Rattus norvegicus: one gene and its partner. The protein of the gene in region 1 binds, or shares a complex with, the protein of each later gene. Links are inferred from orthologs where the notes say so. Each region holds a gene or a part of one and is shown in the gene's direction. Other genes may lie near its edges. The genes, in order: Med16 and Med20.

What was found.
Region 2: Med16 (region 1) and Med20 share a complex: the UniProt entries of both Homo sapiens proteins name them as parts of the mediator complex. The link is inferred for Rattus norvegicus from reciprocal best matches to the Homo sapiens genes MED16 and MED20.

What each region holds. Positions count from the first base shown.
Region 1 is NC_086025.1:10,447,725-10,452,300, forward strand, and holds the start of Med16 (mediator of RNA polymerase II transcription subunit 16), read left to right. Parts: upstream 1-1,548; 5' UTR 1,549-1,603; coding exon 1,604-1,681; intron 1,682-1,863; exon of another isoform or gene 1,864-2,008; intron 2,009-2,447; exon of another isoform or gene 2,448-2,523; coding exon 2,524-2,689; intron 2,690-3,048; coding exon 3,049-3,156; intron 3,157-3,341; coding exon 3,342-3,511; intron 3,512-4,576. UniProt on the Homo sapiens protein: Component of the Mediator complex, a coactivator involved in the regulated transcription of nearly all RNA polymerase II-dependent genes.
Region 2 is NC_086027.1:20,873,323-20,877,128, reverse strand, and holds part of Med20 (mediator of RNA polymerase II transcription subunit 20), read left to right. Parts: intron 1-352; coding exon 353-507; intron 508-3,806. UniProt on the Homo sapiens protein: Component of the Mediator complex, a coactivator involved in the regulated transcription of nearly all RNA polymerase II-dependent genes.

The sequences.
Region 1 (4,576 bases):
AGGGCACTTTTGTTTTGTGTGTGTGTGTGTGTGTGTGTTTGCGCGCGCGCGCGTGTGTGTGTGTGTGTTTGCGCGTGTGTGTGAGAGTGCGTGCGAGCACATGTATGCACGCCATGTGCCCGTGAACCTGGACAAGCTTCGTCCCAAGGGCTCATTTTATGCTTTCTTTTTTGGTGACGTGTGTATTATGTCCCCAGCTCCCTGCCTGCCTTTCAGACGGTCCCCTCTCCTCCTCCTCCCTTACACCAGGGGTCCAGGACTTCCAGCCAGAAGCCTCTGACCTTGTGTACCCTGTCCCCCTCCTCTGTCCCCTCTGCTGCCTGGCGTAGCTGTGGTCACGCAGAGTCCTCCCTTCCCCTTCCGTGTGACTCTTTGTGCTTGGGGAAAGGGACACTTTTAATAAAGCCTTGGTGCTCGGGCCTGCTGTGTGCTTATTTTTGGGGTTGGTGGGGTGGGAGAGATGAGACTAGGTCACTGAGGCTGGAGATCTGGACGTGGAGGAACCTCAAGTCTTGATGCGTTAGTTCATTTTACAACATGTAAAATGCATAAAGATGGGTGCCAGGCTGGGGTTTGGTGGGGAAAGCATTGGCTACCATGCTCAAAGCCCTGGTCCCATCTCCAATACCACATAAACCGTTACATGTGACCAATGGGTCAAGTGAGTTTCAGGCCAGCCTGGGCCATATGGGACAGACAAGTCTGATGTTGGACACCTTCAATCCCAGCACTCAGGAGCCAGAGGCTGATGGATATCTGAGTGCAAGGTCTACATAGCCAGGGCCACACAGTGACCCTGCCTCATACAAACAAAAGCCACTTGAGGGCCAACAAAATGGCTAAGCGGGTTAAGGTGCTTGCTGGCAAGTTCAGCAATCTGAGGAAGGAAAGAACTAATTCCGGGTCCTTTGACCTGCACTGTGGCAGGCATGTCACCCCCACCCCCCACCCCCACCCCCACCCCCACCCCCACCCCCACCCCCACCCCCACCCCCACCCCCACCCCCACCCCCAACGGTGTAAGTAAGTCCATGGCCAGGTGATGCACTTCTGACACCCCAGCAGGTAGAAGCTGTTACAGGAGAACCTCATCAGTGGGAGGCCAACCTGAGCTACAATGAGCCCTTCTGTCGAGAAACAAAATGGGAAAAACGTGTGCGGGCCTTCGTAGGACGTTATGCTGTATGCCAGTTATGCTGTATGCCAGTTCCTCTGAGAGGGCAAAATATGGAACGCTTCACGAATTTGCGTGTCATCCTTGCGCAGGGGCCATGCTAATCTTCTCTGTATCGTTCCAATTTTAGTATATGTGCTGCCGAAGCGAGCACGAACTACGGGCTTACCCAAGACATATTTATAGGCTCAAAATTGAGCTACTTCGCACTTAGGGTGAGTTTTCTCTGAAGGAATAGTATTTGTCCTGCTTATATAGTTAAGCCTTTCTATAAGATCTAGCCAATCATTCGAAAGAACAGATTATTTGTCTTTTATCGCACGTGTAGCCTCAATAATTACTAGGAAATTATTATATGCAAATTAACCGGGGCAGGGGCGTAGTCCGGTTCCCAGAAGTCTGTTCGAGGGGGCCGGCGCGGGCCGAGAAATGGCGGCGCCGGATCCCGGGCGTTGGGGCGAGTGTGGACCGCGGCCGCCCGGTCGGCTGGGCGCCCGGGGCGGACAGGTCAGTGCGGAGTGCGGGGTATGGGACTCCTGGCTGGTGCATTTCTGGCTTGGCCCGCGAGCGGAAGGCCGAGGGGCGGGGCCTGCGGGGTCAGAGGGCGGGCCTGGGAACAAAGCTTGCTGGGTAGAGGCCGGTGAGGGGGAGATGTGATTAGGTTCCCCGCTTAAGGTGAAGCCTGAGGCAACTAGGCTGGGGAGGGGGCGTGGTCCGAGGGGCTGAGACTCCCTGGGAGGGGCGTGGCCTGAGGTTCCGAAGTTGAGCGAAGGGGCGGAGCCTGAAGCAATAAGTCTGATAGAGAAGGCGGTGGGCTAAGGAGCGGAGCCTAAGGTGGGTCGGGGTTAGGGACTGAAGATCTGAGACTGATGCAGAGGGGTTGGTGACCTGATAGTCACAAACTGAAGAGAAGCGGGGGATGAATAAAGTTAGTAGTTTTGTTTGGAAGCAGAGCCTAGTGTGATTAGATAGTGTGGGTGGAGCTTAACGAGCTTGGGCGGGACGCGGTGAAGCACGTGTGTTAAGCCTCAGGTGGGCCTTGGATGTTAACTTATTGCGAGTGGGACTAATGGGCTGGGACGCGGCCTGAGCTACTAGGTTCCGGGGCAAGTCTCTGGAGTGTAGACTGAGGCCCAGACTGAAGTGGTAGGAGTGGGCCTGGTTGTGTGTGTGAGGGTGCTTAGCACTTGTAGGCTGAGCTCACAGCGATCTGGGTGGGTGATAGGTGGCCTAGGGAGGGGTGACCTCAGGTGGGGCATCATGGAATTTCTAGCAGGGCTCGAGCTGGAGAACATTCTAGACCCACTTTAGCCGGGAGCTGCTATAGAGCATGCCTCCCTTCTCCCCAGGAGCCAGGGACGGTGCTGGGTGCGGTGGGTATGATGGACCTAGCCTATGTGTGCGAATGGGAGAAGTGGGCCAAGAGCACGTACTGCCCGTCGCTGCCCCTGGCCTGCGCCTGGTCCTGCAGGAACCTCATTGCCTTCACCACAGACCTACGCAATGATGACCAGGGTAAGTGCTAGTTCTGTTTCCCTGACTGGGACCTGGGGATTGAGACCAAGTGGGTGGGCTGTGATTTCCTCATACAATGGGTCCCGATTTGGTAGGTTCATGGTGGCAGAGCCAGGCTCTCCATTGCCAGCTACAGGGTTTAGAGAGGCCTGGGAAAGCAAGGTGGGAGAAGAGACATCCACACTTTGGTCACCATCCTCCAAATCTAGTGATAGTGCCTCTGGAGAGACACTGGCTGCACTGGATACCCTGTGTAGGGATTAGCAGCATGGGGGAGGGGTGTTATAGGAGAGGGGCAATGGGGGTGGGAATCATGGGCACTGTGGACCACACTGACCTCAGTGTTCTCTTTCCTGCAGACCTCACACACATGATTCATATCCTTGACACAGAACATCCCTGGGAAGTGCACTCTGTCAGCTCTGGCCACAGTGAGGCCATCACCTGCCTGGAATGGGACCAGTCAGGTGAGGCCATGAGGTTTGCTCTCAATCCAAAGCCCAGGACAGCATATGCCACCTTCCTCAGTCATCAGTCCTAAGTCTGGAGCCTGGGGACAGCCACTGCCCACTGGGAGTCCAGAGTGGGGAGGGGACACCGAGCAGTTTACCTGCCCATCAGAAGGGCTCCTGACACAGCTCTTTCATCACAGGGTCCCGGCTCCTGTCTGCCGATGCTGACGGGCAGATCAAATGTTGGAGCATGGCTGACCACCTGGCCAACAGCTGGGAGAGCTCCGTGGGCAGCCAGGTGGAAGGGGACCCCATCGTGGCTCTGTCCTGGCTGCATAACGGGGTGAAACTGGCACTGCACGTAGAGAAGGTGAGTGTACCACTGGGGGACCAAGGGGTACATGGAACGGAACCAGGGGCTGGCATGTGCTGTGAGTACCTGTGGGTTACTGCTGTCCCCGAGAGCCTCTAACCCTGAGCCTCCCTTTCAGCTATGGCCCCTGGACAGGGAGTCTGTTTAACAGATGTCTGCGTCTGCAGTGCTGTCTTACAAACATCCTCAGACCCCAGAATCCTCCTGTCTGTCTATATTCTGGAGTTCAGCCACTTAGGAGCGGGGACAGAGTTGGACTCTAAGTCCTTTTCCCTTAGTAAGGGAGGGGAAGTGGCAGCCTGTGGGTCAGGAAGCACAACCAAAATTCAGTTCCATGATTGCTACAGGTTTTTGGAGCCTAACGGCTTTCACATTGCCTCTCATCCCCAATTCTAGTACTTAGGAGGCAGACAGCTCTCTCTGAGCTCAAGACCAGCCTGGTCTACATATCCAGGTCCAGGGCAGCCAGGGCTACACAGTGATACTTGTTCTCCAAATTTAATGTAAGGGCTAGAGAGGTAGGTGGCTCAGTGGTAGGAGTACCAGCTGCTCCTGCAGAGGACCTGGGTACATTCCCAGCCCCTCCATGGCGACTCACAGCCATCTGTAACTCCAGCTCCAAGGGACTCCGTGGGCATAAGCTCTTTGCAACCTAGTCCTCTAGCCCAGCAGAGGCAGCGGAAGAGAAAAGCTGTTAGGCTATGGGGGAAGTGGACCTGATGAGCAGTAGCTCTTTGAGGGTGAGCTAGCAGTGGTTCAGTCCCGCAGCAAACACCAAATAGGACTTAGCAGGCAGACACCAGGCACGAACCAGCAGCTGTAGTTCAATCCTGAAGAAAAACACCAGGAACCTCAGGAGCAGTTCTTGGCTGACTTTCTCTCAGTGACAGCGTTACCACAGCATTGAGCTCAACGATGCCATGTAAGGTAAACTAATGCATGCGTGTCTTTAGTGAAGAATCGTGAGGCAGAGCAAATCAAACCACAGCTCAGTGCCCGTCTCCCACTGTCTGTGAGGTCATAGTTCTACTCCTTCATTGTGGGTTCTTTACCATGTTTGCT
Region 2 (3,806 bases), on another chromosome or scaffold:
CAGTAATCAGCGATACACCATCAATTCCAGTCACTACAATTCCATGATACTGAGCGCAGTGTGGACTACCTAGAGTTATCACTTAAATGTTAACACATATGCCTTACACTTGGGGAGTGCTGGTGTGGGAAGCTCACTGCCCCAGGGTAAGACACTTGAGACCTGTGCTCTCTGCCTGTTAGAGGAACTCCTGGGCACTGCAGTAGGCCTCTTCCTTTCTCAGGTATGACGGTGGAGATCAGAGATGTCTAGAGTAACCCTGTCGATCTGTTACCTGTTGGGGAATTGAGTGGCTTAGCCAGGAGATATGTGTCTCCTCCGGACACTGCTGACTTGAGGTTCTGTTTTTCAGTGTGTCCCAGATGCCTGTGGCTGAGGGCAAGAGTGTCCAGCAGACAGTGGAGCTCCTCACCAAGAAATTGGAGATGCTTGGAGCAGAGAAACAAGGAACATTTTGTGTGGACTGTGAAACTTACCACACAGCTGCCTCCACCCTGGGCAGCCAAGGTCAGTAGATGGCTGTAAGCACATGGGTGGAACCTGGCTTAGAGTCCCTCCCATATTTATGTAAATGACATGTTGACTTTTCTGCCGAGGGTAGCAGTCTTGAACGAGGCAGGATGTGTTTGTGAGCTCATTCATTCTTGGTGGGTCTTTGACTATGGTGGTCAGTTTGCAGTTTGACCCTATTTGTGTGTGTGTGTGTGTGTGTGTGTGTGTGTGTGTGTGTGTGGACACGTACTTGTGCCCTTATATGTGGCTATATGCACAAAAGTATGGGTGCTTATGGAGGCTAGAGGTGTCCGATCCCCTGGAGCTGGAGTTACAGGTAGTTACCAGCTACCTGCTATGGGGAGCTGGGAAACTGAATTTGGGTTCGAGGCCAGCCTGGTCTAGAGACTGAGAACCTTTCTGAGGAAACAAAGATTGTACACAACAGGAAGCACTTCCTTCATTAAAGAATAGTGTTGGGGCTGAAGAGATAGCTCAGCAATTGAGAGCACTGGTTGGTCTTCCAGAAGGCCCGGGTTTGATTCCCAGCACCGACATGGCAGCTCACAGCCATTTGTGACTCTAGTTCTAGGGGATTCAATGCCCAGTGCCCACTATGGACCCCTGGTGTGCAGGTGGTGCACAGACATACATGAAAGCAAACCAGTTATACACATAAAAATAAAATATTAAAAATCAGTGTCCCAAGGGTTGTAGCTCAGTGGTAGAACACTTATGCAAGGCCTTGGGTTCAATCCCCAGCAATCCCCCTTCCTCCTCACAGTTCTTACCTGCTTTTGAAAAGTTTCAAGGCAGTGCAGCCTGATGTAGTATGATCCAGGTATGTAATTGCAGTGTGTAGCCCTGAGACAGAATAAGATCAGCTTCGAGGGCTGACATATTTCAAAGAGATGAATTGTCAAAGAGATGACAGGTGTGAATCGGCAGTGTGGACAGAAGGGATGGGAGCAGGAAGTTCAGTGTAGAGCCTGCTGGCAGCAGAGAGGCCAGCGCACTGCAGGGAAGGCACTGACCTGCTCCCCAATCCTCTTTCATTACCACACTTTTTACTTATATTTTATTGTGTTGTTTTTGAGACAGGTCTCACTCTGTAGCCCTGGCTCACTCTGGCTGTCCTGAAAGTCACTGTGTAGACCGGAGCAGCCTCACACTCACAGAGACCCGTCCGGAGTGCTGGAACAAGAGTGCGTCCTTGCTCCTGGCTTTGGTTTTATTTCTGTAGATGGTGCCTGTGGAGGTCAGAGGGGAACATAGGGTCCCTTGGAGCTGGCATTACAGGCACTTGTGGGCAGCGCAATGTGGCTGGTGGGTGCTGGGACCTGAACTCCATCTTCTGACAGAACAGGGAGTGAATGAGTGATCAGAGCCACTGAGCCATCTCACCAGCCCCTTGTTATGCCCCTTTGTTTGTTTCTTCCTTTTGGTTTTGTTTTTAGGACAGAGTTTCTCTGTGTACCCCCTGCTGTCCTGCAACTCTCTCTTTGTAGACTAGGCTGGCCTTGAACTCACAGAGGTCTGTCTGCCTTTGCCTCCCAAGTGCTGGGACTAAAGGTGTGTGCCACCACTGGCTGGCCCATGCTATGAGTGCCATCTTTCCTGCCCTGTCAGACAGACATTCTTCTGCATCCTCCTTCACGCCTGGTTTCTCCTTTCATCTTACGCTGACAACTTAGAGTTCTGGCCTTTCAGGTAATCACCCTTTAAAGTTTCATTTTGTAGGAGTTAGGTTTTTGTGAGAGATGTTTTGTGTAGCTCAGGCTAGTTTCGAACTCACCTTGAGTTTCTGATGCTCCTGCTCCCAGCTCTCTAGTGCTAGGATTATAGCCTACCACAGTCAGTTTATCTGGTGCTGGGGGTAGAACCCAGGTCTTTATGCGTGCTAGGCAGGGGCTGTCATCACCAGACCCTTTTTATTGATTTTGTGTTTATTTATGTGTATTACACATGTGCATGGTTGCTTTTGCCATGGCATGGGTATGGCGTTATAGATTCCAGCTTTCTGGAGTCTAAGCTCTCCTTTGCCCACGGGCCTCCCAGAGATCAGACCCAAGTCAGGCTTAGCAGCAGGCTCCTTTACCTGCTGCACTACCCCCTCATCACCTGCGCACGGATGGCGTTTGTTCTGTTTTGCTGTGGGTGTGAGAGCTTGTGCATGCCCACACCTGAAGGCTAGAAAAGGACATTGGATGTGTGATGGGTTCGCCTACGGCCCTCTGCCTGATTGACTGCCTTGAGGCAGGGTGTCTCACTGAACTGGAAACTTGCCATTTTGGATATCTGACTGGCCAGTGGACTGTTAGGGTCCACCCGCTTCTGTTCCCCAATGCTGGAATCATAGGCATATGTAGCTTCCAGGCTTTCTCCTGGGTTTGGGGGATTAGAATTTAGATCCTCACTGAGTTGTCTTCTCAGGGCCCGCTCCCATTTTTTAAAGTAGATGTCTGTTTATTTTTCTATATTTTTATTTCATATGTGTATGCATATATATATACCCTTATACGTGTGTATACAAATGTACCCTAACAAGGGAGTAGAGGTCAGAGGACAACTTGCAGAAGTTGAGGCTCTCTTTCCATCATATGGGTCCCAGAGATGGAACTTAGGTGGCCAGGCTTGGTGGCAAGAGCCTTAGCCTTACCTTGCCGGTCCTATTTTTTACTGTTTTCAGACAGGGTCTTATACAGCCCAGGCTGATCTCAGACTTGAGGCAGTTACACTGCGTGGGCCTTTGGAAAACTCTTGAGCTTCCATGCGGTGCTTCTTAGTTAGAGACCGGGTGTCCTTGGGAAGCTGTCCTCCATCCTCAACCTCAGTGTCCCCAGTGCTGGGTTACAGGCTTGCGCCGCCTTTGTCTTACATTGTAAGCTCCTGACTCTTTTTTTTTTTTTTTTTTTTTTAAGATTATATTCATTTGATGTATGTGAGTACACTGTCGCTGTCTTCAGACACACCAGAAGAGGGCATCAGATCCCATTACAGATGGTTGTGAGTCACTATGTGGGTGCTGGGAATTGAACTCAGGACCTCTGGAAGAGCAAGTAGTCAGTCCTCTTAACCTCTGGGTCATCTTTCCAGCCCCCTCCCCCCCCTTTTTTTAAAGAGTGTTCTTCTTTAAAAACATTTTTTTGGGTGCTTGCCACCAAGTCTGACAGCTTGAGTTTTATCCCAGAACCCACATAGTAGAAGGAGAAACAGACTTTCCCAAGTTCCTGCCTCTGAATCATATATGTGCTCCTGCTCCAAAACACAAATACGTGTGTGTGTGTGTGTGTGTGTGTGTGTGTGTGTTGTGT